Arabidopsis thaliana: one gene and its partner. The protein of the gene in region 1 interacts with the protein of each later gene in a pairwise test. Each region holds a gene or a part of one and is shown in the gene's direction. Other genes may lie near its edges.

Evidence for each region. Proteins that work in one complex are often made in the same cells at the same time.
Region 2: the proteins of LRL2 (region 1) and IBH1 interact in a two-hybrid assay, tested with the Arabidopsis thaliana proteins (one large-scale study listed by BioGRID).

What each region holds. Positions count from the first base shown.
Region 1 is NC_003075.7:15,077,875-15,084,144, reverse strand, and holds LRL2 (LJRHL1-like 2), read left to right. Parts: upstream 1-2,369; 5' UTR 2,370-2,394; coding exon 2,395-2,835; intron 2,836-2,952; coding exon 2,953-3,093; intron 3,094-3,210; coding exon 3,211-3,276; intron 3,277-3,620; coding exon 3,621-3,686; intron 3,687-3,956; coding exon 3,957-4,013; intron 4,014-4,350; coding exon 4,351-4,656; 3' UTR 4,657-5,027; downstream 5,028-6,270. UniProt on the Arabidopsis thaliana protein: Transcription factor that regulates the development of root hairs. Transcription factor that regulates the development of sperm cells.
Region 2 is NC_003071.7:17,906,843-17,911,749, forward strand, and holds IBH1 (ILI1 binding bHLH 1), read left to right. Parts: upstream 1-2,164; 5' UTR 2,165-2,404; coding exon 2,405-2,875; 3' UTR 2,876-3,368; downstream 3,369-4,907. Other genes in the region: SPPL3 (SIGNAL PEPTIDE PEPTIDASE-LIKE 3), read right to left, coding at 4,391-4,500, 4,597-4,680, 4,872-4,907.

The sequences.
Region 1 (6,270 bases):
CGGCGGAGGAAGAAAGGGTTTAAGCTTCTTTTTTGTTCTCAAACAAGGAGGCGGTTGGGTTTAACGACCCGGTTAGGTTTTATCCTGGTTTATCGTTTAATCGAACCGAATGTTCGGGTTTTGACGTATATTTCTGGTTTTCCATAACCGAGATCCATAATTTTAGACATTTTTATTTCCCTTTTTAGCCCAATCTTAACATTCGAAAATCGTAACACTGGCCAACAAAATATTGAGACGCGCGTTAACTCATCAACATCTTCTTCTCTCAAATTAAAATAGCATTTCGAGCACGTCCAGCACTCAGCTTCATCTACAATCACAGCAAGCCAAATTAAGCTTTCATGTTTCTCAAGTAGAGTTTTTTTAGTATAATTTAAGAGAATGAAATTACATTTAAGGAAATAAGATATGTTTATTTATTTGTATTAGACTAATAGAGTAAGAACCAAGACTTTAATCAGAGTTTGTCAGATTCATACAAGGTTAAATAATTCAATATTTTCCCAAGGCCTAGTTAAGCCCACCTTTTGATATTTACAGATTATATTTATAGTTCATTATAGGTGAATAAGTAGAACTTGGGAAATCAGACGTGATTGTGTACCAAACTAAGATCGTAAGAGCCAGTTTTTCAATTTGAACAAAGCCGTAATTTTTGAGGGAGTTCCTCAAATTTATTGGGTTTTGTCAGGATTGAGTCTACAATGGTTGTGCACCATATGGTTTATTTTCCTGCCTTCCTATTGTAAACGTATTGTTTTATATAAACAATAGAAAAAACTACTGATAATATGAAATAAAACTAATGTATCAGTATACTAGATGGGACCAATAGTTTATTTAACATAGTAGCATTTTTGTCTTTACTATCTGTTTATTTTTTCTATATGGAATTTAAATTATCATTCGTAACTTATTTTACACCCCCTTAGTTAATTATTTTGGTATACATTATGATTATTAAGTAAAAACAAAAATAATTATTGCATTCTCTTGATAATACTAATACATGAGATGATAGATCTCTCTTTCTGTTGTGTAGTACATCAATGCTTACCAACATTTGTAATTAATAAATGGGAAGTGTATTAAAGCCGATCTCTACCTCTTGTGAGTTTGTGCAAAACTCAGAATGTCCCATGTGCTTAATCATGCATATTGCATAATAATGTTCTTTACTTATCTTTGTCAATTTAATATTAATCTTAATCAAATACTATCAAACAGCTGAAAAACTGTATACGATGGTAAAAAAGAATTTTTAAGGTAAATGATGAATTTATTAGACCAAAAAATATTTAACAAGTATAAAAAATACATGGTAACATGACATGATGATGATGACGATGTTCTGTTATGTTATGTTCTCGTTTGAGAGGATCCTCTTTCCCAAATGTTAATCAGATCGGTTAAAACAACAATTTCATCGATCGGTATCATATTAATCAGAAAACAAAACAAGAATAATCTATAAAAAGTGATCTTATTCTTATCGAACACGAGTATCGTCTAAAGGGATAGCATGTTTGTAATCTTGGGGACAAATTGTAAACAGTAATATATGAAGAGAACATTATCATGAACCGTTGATGAATGAATGAATGTACCCAAATGAATAGAGTATAATTGTATGCATTTATACTGCATGTCTAAATATTATATGTCTAAAATAGTTGTCACAAGAAAAAGTGTTGGCTCTGGTGTTATCTTGTAGACTATTGCATTTTTGGACTAGCAAATATTTATCTCGTGGTACGTAGTTGCCGGGACAAGTTTAAAACTCCGACTGATTTTAATAAAAAAGATCAACAATAGAGATTTGTATTTTATTTTATTTTTGTAGTTGGCATCCTTAACATAAATCCAAAGAATTTTATTCAGCATTCAAATAAACCAATTTTAATGTTACCGAATGAAAATCTTATACAATTATCTTAAACATGAGTTTTCAAAAATGATTAATAGAAAAACCTATGTTATATATATAGAAATTTAATAATATACGGTATTAGAACCACATTCTGTCTTAAATAAAAAAAAAAAGATAATTAAACATACGTAAATCATTTGAGTGAAGTTAGTACAACCGAATTTTTTTTTTTTTTTTTTTTTTTTAGTACAACCGAATTTTAAGTTAGTTTTATTACTTTAAGCCTGTCATTCGATCGACTATGATATTTTTAGAAATATATGTTTCACTTACTTTTTGTAGTTACTACAAAATTGTGAAAAGTATATTATCAACAAAGGATTATAAAATTGAAGAAATCATGACTTCAGTGATCGAATTCTTTTAGTGATTAAAAAAATCAAGAAATTATGAAAATAACACGAAATAATTAATTTGCAAGGATGATAAAAAAAATGGTAAATTTGGTAAACGTATTTAACATGTCAAAGTCAAACCCTTCAAATCTCAAATATTACAATCTCCATCCCTCTTTTAAACACCATAAAGCCTTAAACCTCAAAAGACATTTCAACAACATTCATTTTCATTCTCACTCCCCACCAAAAAAAAAAAAAACAGAAGCCATGAACTCCTCGTCTCTTCTAACTCCTTCATCATCTCCTTCTCCACATCTTCAATCTCCTGCAACATTCGACCACGATGATTTCCTCCACCACATCTTCTCCTCCACTCCTTGGCCCTCATCCGTTCTCGACGACACTCCTCCACCAACTTCCGATTGTGCCCCCGTCACTGGATTCCACCACCACGACGCCGATTCAAGAAACCAGATCACTATGATTCCTTTGTCACATAACCATCCTAATGACGCTCTCTTCAATGGCTTCTCCACCGGATCTCTCCCTTTCCACCTCCCTCAAGTATAACTGATAATCCACTTTTTCTCTCTCATTTTGCAAATTACTACAAAAGAGAAAACATTCATTACATGTTCTTTTGTTAAGTCTTAATTTAATGTTTTCTGATATATATTTTAGGGATCGGGAGGTCAAACGCAAACGCAGTCGCAGGCGACGGCGTCAGCCACCACCGGTGGTGCAACGGCGCAACCTCAGACAAAGCCTAAAGTCCGAGCTAGGAGAGGTCAAGCCACTGATCCTCACAGTATCGCCGAACGGGTTCGATTTTTTTATTTAACTTTTCCTCATTATTCGCTTTTCAGTTACCGAGAAAAACGTATAAAGTTATTTAGATGATTAAGGTGATTATTGAAATATTTTGAAATTATGGAACAGTTACGGAGAGAGAGGATAGCGGAAAGAATGAAATCTCTTCAAGAACTTGTCCCTAATGGTAACAAGGTAAATTTTAATTATCTTCATTAGTCTAAATTTCGATCATCAAAGTTGATATAATTAAAAGAGTAGATTCAAATAATCCAATTTGTATTTTACATTTCTTTAATAGTATATATCTCAAAATGAATAATGTGTTAAGTATATGAGTTACACTGATGTATTTTAGTCTTGGACCACAAATTGCTACTAGTTTAGTAGGTTATCTAGAGATTTGGACTTTTATGCAGTCAAATGATTAAACACTGATTAGCTAATTAATTCTAAAATTTAATTGATAATAATACTTAATAAACAGATGCAGAATTGCTAACAAGGTTTTTTTTATTGTTAAAAATAATAATTAACAGACAGACAAAGCATCAATGCTCGATGAGATTATCGATTATGTCAAGTTCTTACAGCTCCAAGTCAAGGTGAATCTCTCTCTCTCTCTCTCTCGAATTATTTTATAAGATATGAGAATTTTAAATTTGTTTTTGTTATAAGAGTGGAAGCTTCTTTACCTTTGAGTTGACATTAGAATAAGAAATCGAATATGGGCCTCTGCAACTAAAATTCCATATGCTCCCTTTCCCTTTTATCTTGTAAATTATTTATCTTTTGCGTTTGTTAAAACATAGTGTTAGTGTATATCTACCTCTTCTTTTGCTTAATTATAATATTTGGCAAATTTATGTATGCAGGTACTAAGCATGAGTAGACTGGGCGGTGCTGCTTCTGCTTCTTCTCAAATCTCTGAGGTAATAATTTCAATTCCTTCTCTCTTAAAAGGGATGATAGGATGACGTGATCACTATATAGAATGAGATTTTATTTTTTAAACTAATTAAAAAGAGATGTAAATTATTGAAAAGGTTTTAGTTAGGGAATAATACTAATTAAAAAGTAGTTTTGTTTTCGACTTTCTAAAAACAAATGAAAAAGTTTTCCAAAAAATAGTAAAAAAAACAAAACAAGGACAGGGCACGCGTGCCTACTTTCTCTCCAACAAATACCAAAACCTCCCATTTCAACATCATCATAGCTTTAGGGTTTTGCTTTTCTTGTTTTCTTTTTAATTTTATTGAACATTTTCAGGATGCCGGTGGATCCCACGAAAACACCTCCTCCTCCGGCGAGGCGAAGATGACGGAGCACCAAGTTGCAAAGCTAATGGAAGAGGACATGGGATCAGCCATGCAATATCTACAAGGCAAAGGTCTTTGCCTCATGCCCATCTCGTTAGCCACCACCATCTCCACCGCCACGTGTCCTTCTCGTAGCCCCTTCGTTAAAGATACCGGCGTTCCTTTGTCTCCTAACCTATCCACTACAATAGTTGCTAACGGTAATGGCTCATCGTTGGTCACCGTTAAAGACGCTCCCTCCGTTTCCAAGCCGTGATAACGGCCATTTGTCCATTTCATTTTCCCTTTTTTGGGTGGGAAAGAGAGAAAAAAGTTTAGAAGACAAAGACAAGTGGGATAGGTGGTTTTGGTCAAAGTTTAGAAAGAATAAGGTCGTGTTTTCGGATACGACACCGTATTTGCGTACACTTTGGTTTTCTGTCTTTACCTACTACAAACCACCCATAAGCACACTCATGTTATCATGTTTTTTTTTTTTTGGTTTATAAAGTTATATCCTTAAATTTTCTATCACAGAACCGGTCTGGTCTAACAAATGTCGTCAATGATGATCATTTAGGCCAAAGAGTTTGTTTAAAACTCGTTATGCTTAAGTTTCTAAATCTACACAACACAGGAATGTAACACTTAAGCAGGCTTAATTTCACCGTTTTATATACTCACATACTGAAGAAATTTATTGTCAATCGCCAATGTGGTCAGCGGTAAGATCTCATATAAATCTTCCTAGTAGTGTTCAAGAAAATCACTATATATGCAGCAGGGGCTTAGAGTAGCATCTAACGTTTAGAACACCTAGTCAGGATCATTTTAGGTGGTTAAGAGTTTTGTAGAGTGAATTTGTATGGTATACCTCTACTATGACCTACTACTATAAACGAAATAACATGATCTTAATTTATCTTATAAGCACAAAAATAAACAGCAAGGACCGAGAAAACATATAAGATATAAACCATTTCCATATATACCAACGACCTCAAACGTTTACATGTTCAAACCGTCAGAATGTTTTCTACCACGATCGAAAAAAAATAGTCTGAATTGAAACAGAGGAAAATATAATATATCATTTCGTTGTAGAGTCTCTTCTTTTTATTGCTTTGGCATGAGGTTTGAGTTTTGACTTCAAGTACAAAAAATGAATTTATTTTGGGCCAAAAGCATGTGGGAAATAAATTACGGCGAAGTTTGGAAGTATTAGGCTTACAAGTACAATAGTCTGGGACACAATTTGACTAAAGGAGTGGGTGGCTACTAACTCCGCACCACACCCATTCATTTTTCTCATTTTTTACAGTACGATTGTAACCAGATCCCAAAACCTAACCTCTCGGCTCCTAAATAAGGCTCCAATAGTTAGTTTCTCAGTGACTTTTTTTTAATAGTGTAGAAAGTATATAAGATACATCCAACACCCCCATTGTTTAAACGGGTCAACATCAAGTTTTCTTTTCAACCACATAAATTTTCTCAAATTTAAATTGGGATGATCACAAAAGGACACTAATTCGAACTACTAAACTACATATCCAGCTCAAATTACTAATTAGTTTGGTGATTATTTGTTCAATTCGACACATAATCTCTCAATTTAAAAATTTATTTGTAAGATCAATCAATAATTCTATTTAAAAAATTGGAAAAGAGCAAAACAAATTCTAGGTGAAACAAACGTAGTACATTAATTGGAGAAACCATACAATGTACTAACACAAACTATCAGAACCAACTAGATTTAAAGCATTGATTCAAAACAAATCTGTATCTACCGATCAACAGTAGATTCTCATTTCCTGACCCTTAAATTTAAGCTTAGGAAAAGATGCTACCAACATGATTGACATGCAAAAATTAGTTCATACAATAA
Region 2 (4,907 bases), on another chromosome or scaffold:
TACGGAGCAAAGTCGCCGACAGTTGTAACGTCAAGCTTAATCAGCCGTCTTCATTTTGAACATAACGTAATAAAACAACCAAACACTCTTTTTTCCTCTTTAACAACAAAAGAGGCGTCAGTGCTTACGTGGCTTTTCACACGTTCTGATTTTCAACATTTTGTAAATCATTATTACTAAATGACCAATAGCATTTATTCTTTTGTTTTTGTTTTACATTTTTAGTTGGGATATTTTAATCAACTAGTATGATAAAGTTTATTCGCCCCCAACGACTTATTATTAAATTAAGAAGAGAATCAAAGAAAACGAATGGTGTAGTTAATATTAATTGAATAATTAGAACAAAAAAAAATTAAAGATAAAGATAAGAGAGAAAGGAAAGTGGAGGTGGGTAAAGGCCATAGCCATGTGCCTTCATGTGGTGGTTGGCCCATTAGTGGACCTACTCTACCACTTCTTCAACTCTTTTTTAGTTCTTATTATATGATTAACACCTTCTTATTCATTTGGTTTCACTCCTAATATCAACAATTTTGTAAATTGTTATTGACCCGAAATTGTTAATCTTTAAACGTATTTTTATGATAGATGTGAAATTTGAAACCTTAGAGAAAACAGTGAGATTTAAGGGATTTTGGAGCTGAATCTTGAAAAAAGATAAATATGATCATGATGATGTTATACAAAAGAATTAAATGGCGTGAAAAATACGTCCGGCGGCAAAGCGGTAGGGGAGAGAGTGATTAACACAAAAGAGATGGGACTAATGCTAAATTATAGCCTTAACCAAACACTTATCGTATTCCTCAAGTCTCTCTTCTCTTCTTTTATATTTTCATGTGTTGTCTTTTCTAAATTGGTTAGTAATATTTGGTGTATATAAATTGTAACGTCATCTATTGGTCAAGCCAATTGAATAATCTCATATTTTGTTGTTGCTCTCTTGCATGGTGAATACTTTGTTATATATCTGATCAATTTTAAACACGTTTTATCTTGATGATGCGAGTGGCTAATTGATTAAGTTTATTAACACTTTATATCGTCGAAATAATCATAGTTATTCTCAGGTTCAATGGTGTTACTTTCTAAACTAACGTATAGTTCAAACTCAGTTTCGAATAAACATCCTCAATCAGTCGTTTCACGAGAGTTGGATTTTGGCTGAATTTTGTTTGTGGAAGTAAATATCGAGCAAGTAATGAATCAATTAAATTGATATTTTGGGTTTTGTTATTTCTTTTGCCTTGAAAATGAGCTTATATGTTTTCCACAATCGATCATATTCCATCTTAATCGTCATTAGTTGTCAACTAATGTTAACATAAATACATACATATATGTATATAGCTTACCTAATTTTATCATAATAGTCTCTATTAGCTGTTCACGTTAATGAATTCATACGCATTCGTCACTAAATTAACCTTTTATAAAAACAAACAAATAAACATAATAGTGTGGTTGGAATCTAATTCCATAATCTGATGTCTGCTCTAAATTGCTCTTTTTTCCGTTAATACCAAGCTATGAACCAAACGAGCTTGATTAATTTGCGTCTAGTACTTAAACATCATCCGAATTATTATTTTGTTTTAGCTAAGATGTATACGAGCATTAATGCTATATATATTGTATTTGGGTGTAGTATACATTAATATTTCAAATTTCAAAATAGTCAAATATATATACCCAAAATAGCCAAGTTCTGTTAATCTATTGGCATCAACTTTTTTCTTCAAGCTCCAAAACATCGTTTTCCACTAATTGCCCATTTATTTATTCAAGACTTTATAACACTAGGTGTAAATTATACTTTTCCGAAATACATGGGTTATACAATTCACATTTCATTTTAAAATTCTAACACATAATGATATATTTACACATCTAAGTAGCCACCAGTAAGCAATCGATGTCAAACCACTAAACCATAACAGACGAATCTACAAAAAATTTGAACTAATATTAGTAAACCCCCAAAGTTAAACATAGAACTGTATTTATTTGCTGTTCACCATTGAAGAAAACTGCCACTTATAACTTCATATTCTCATATTTTTACGCAACGTAACTTTGACGGACCAATTAAGCTCCAAAATTCAATATTTCAAAGCTATTAACACATCTTTTTTTTTTTAGAACATGAGTTATAAATAGTTGAACCTATAGTTTAAATTTAAACTTTATAGAGAATTTGAATAGTTGTGTGTCTTGTGACATAAAAAAACATAAAGAAAAGTTAAGTACAAGGAAAAATAAACATTATTTATTCCTCTCTATCTCTCTCTCTCTCTCCACCTTTCCATTTATATTAACCCTAATATTGTGTCATTCTCAAAAAAAAAAAAGTTTTATAAAGGTTCTCAACTCAAGTTCTCTTCTCTAAAAAACCCAAACAATGGCCTCTGCAGACAAACTCATAAACACAGATGTCCCTGAAAAGGACGTTTTTGCCTTCCACTTCCTCCAATCCCTCTCAAATCTCAGAAAACAAAACCCTTTTGATACTCCGGACCAAAAAAACTACCGCGTGAGGAAGATCAAGAAGGCTGCGTACGTTTCCATGGCCAGAGCAGCCGGAGGGAGTAGCCGGCTATGGAGCAGAGCCCTCTTGCGTAGAGCAGACAAAGATGACAACAAGATCGTAAGATTTTCAAGGAGGAAGTGGAAGATATCATCAAAACGGAGGAGGAGTAACCAGAGAGCTCCGGTGGTGGAGGAGGCGGCGGAGAGGCTGAGGAATCTTGTTCCGGGAGGCGGAGGAATGGAGACGTCAAAGCTGATGGAAGAGACGGCTCATTACATCAAGTGCCTTAGTATGCAGGTCAAGGTCATGCAGTGTCTCGTTGATGGCTTATCTCCCAAATGATCATCAATTAATCATCAACATCATCATCAATGATCGATGTATATAGAGATACGACACATACATAGTCTATTGGATTGGGGTAATCATAACGAATATATATGTGTATATATATATATATATATATATATATATTCTTATATATATACATACGTGTAAGATAGGATACATATATGAAATGTGTGGATATGTATTAGTCTCGAAGTAACGAAAGATTTTTTTCTTTTTCTTTTCTTGAATTTTGATAAAAGGGGATTTATTATTTATCATATGCTATGGCCGGTTTAAACATTAGGGCTTGGTAACTTGCCCTTGTCATATGATAAAAGGGGATTTATTACTTATCATATGCTAAGAGAATTTTCTTTCTTCTTTTCTTTTAAGCTATGCAATTTACTTGGTTCCTCTTGATTGTGTTATTCGTCAATGATGTTTCTATGGATGGATTATATATATAAAGTTATAACATATTAGTTATAAGAAAATTATAGCGGAATTATAACTATCATAAAATATACATTCTGTATTTATATATCTCCTATACATATACGACTGTTTATGTTTTTGAGAAAATATATGATAAATCTAATAATTTTAAAAATATATATTTATAGAATTATGAATCATTTAATTAAATGATTTTTTTTTGTTTAACACGGAGTTACTTGAATAAGTCTTAAAAATACTTGACATTATATAGGTTAAAGAATTTTGTAGAATATATATAATTTAACTCCTTTTTTGTTTTGTATAACTCTTTTTTCAGGTAAGAGAGATTTTTTTTTTTGTATAACTCTAACATTTCATGATTTATGTCGGATTGAATTCAAATGGTCGCTCACAACAACATTATTAACAAAAATTACAAGACTCTGATTACTTGTTTTCTTTATAATCACATTTTCCGTTGGAAGGATTATCTACACGTCTTATTTATGCAGTTGGTCATACTTATATTTCATACGAGTGTCCTACTTTAATTTGTCAATTATTATACACGTGTACGTAAACAGACAAATTGGTCAATTCCACATATTTCACATCAAATATCTGATTCGTGCATTCGTTTTCGTCAGAATTTCATTCCATCAGTCGAATAATATTTGAACAAACTTTCAAGTTTTATGGAATTTTCAAAGACTTATTTTTCCCAAAAAAGAAAACACACAAAGATTAACAAAAGGGAATTTGCATTATACTTGAAATTCTACAAAAACGAGTCTGAATTCAAGAGAAGGTTAATATAGACTCTGTACAACATGTCATGAGTCTTACTAGAGAACCTTTCTTTCTTCTCCCCCAAAACAAGGAAAAAAAAACGATATAATACAGTACTTTCCGATGTGTCTTGAATTACTTTTGGTATCCGATTAACTTTGGCTTTGCAGAGAACTTACATCATCAGCTTTTGTGTACCTCTCACATATGAAATCTGCTTAAGCTATGCTCGATGTTTTGGGGAAAAGCTAATTCAGTTTGATTGATAACACATCATTAGAATATTGTTGAATCATGTTATTATGCCACAGGCATTGGATCCTCCGGTGTGTGAGACTCTGATTCTTCGATACCGTAATTCCATAGTTCTTTAAGCTCTCCTCTTACCAACCCCAGTATGACGGCCAAACCTACAGAGAGAAAACACATCAGGTTTTGTTTGAGAACGATGGAGAGGAGTGTTCAAAAACAGATGGAGGAAAGGGAACTCAAGCTTCTGGTTTTACCGAGTGTGCAGGGTACGATGTACAATAGTGCCGGCTGGCCATGTCCGTCCATAAGATACAGACCTAGGTATGTCAGTAATAGACCTACAAAACAGAACAGGAAGAAACAATGTTTCTGTTAAGTTCCAAGACTGTGAATGTGAGAAGCCATCTCGATTAGCAAGCTATGTTATTTTATAGTCGGAAAATATAAAATAATTGAGATCATTTACTCTGTTGTATAAGCTATGTAACGCCATTAATGTTCACAGAGTTAGTAATGCGTGGACACTTACCTATTCCATAGCCGATAGTCAACCAGAGGAAGTACC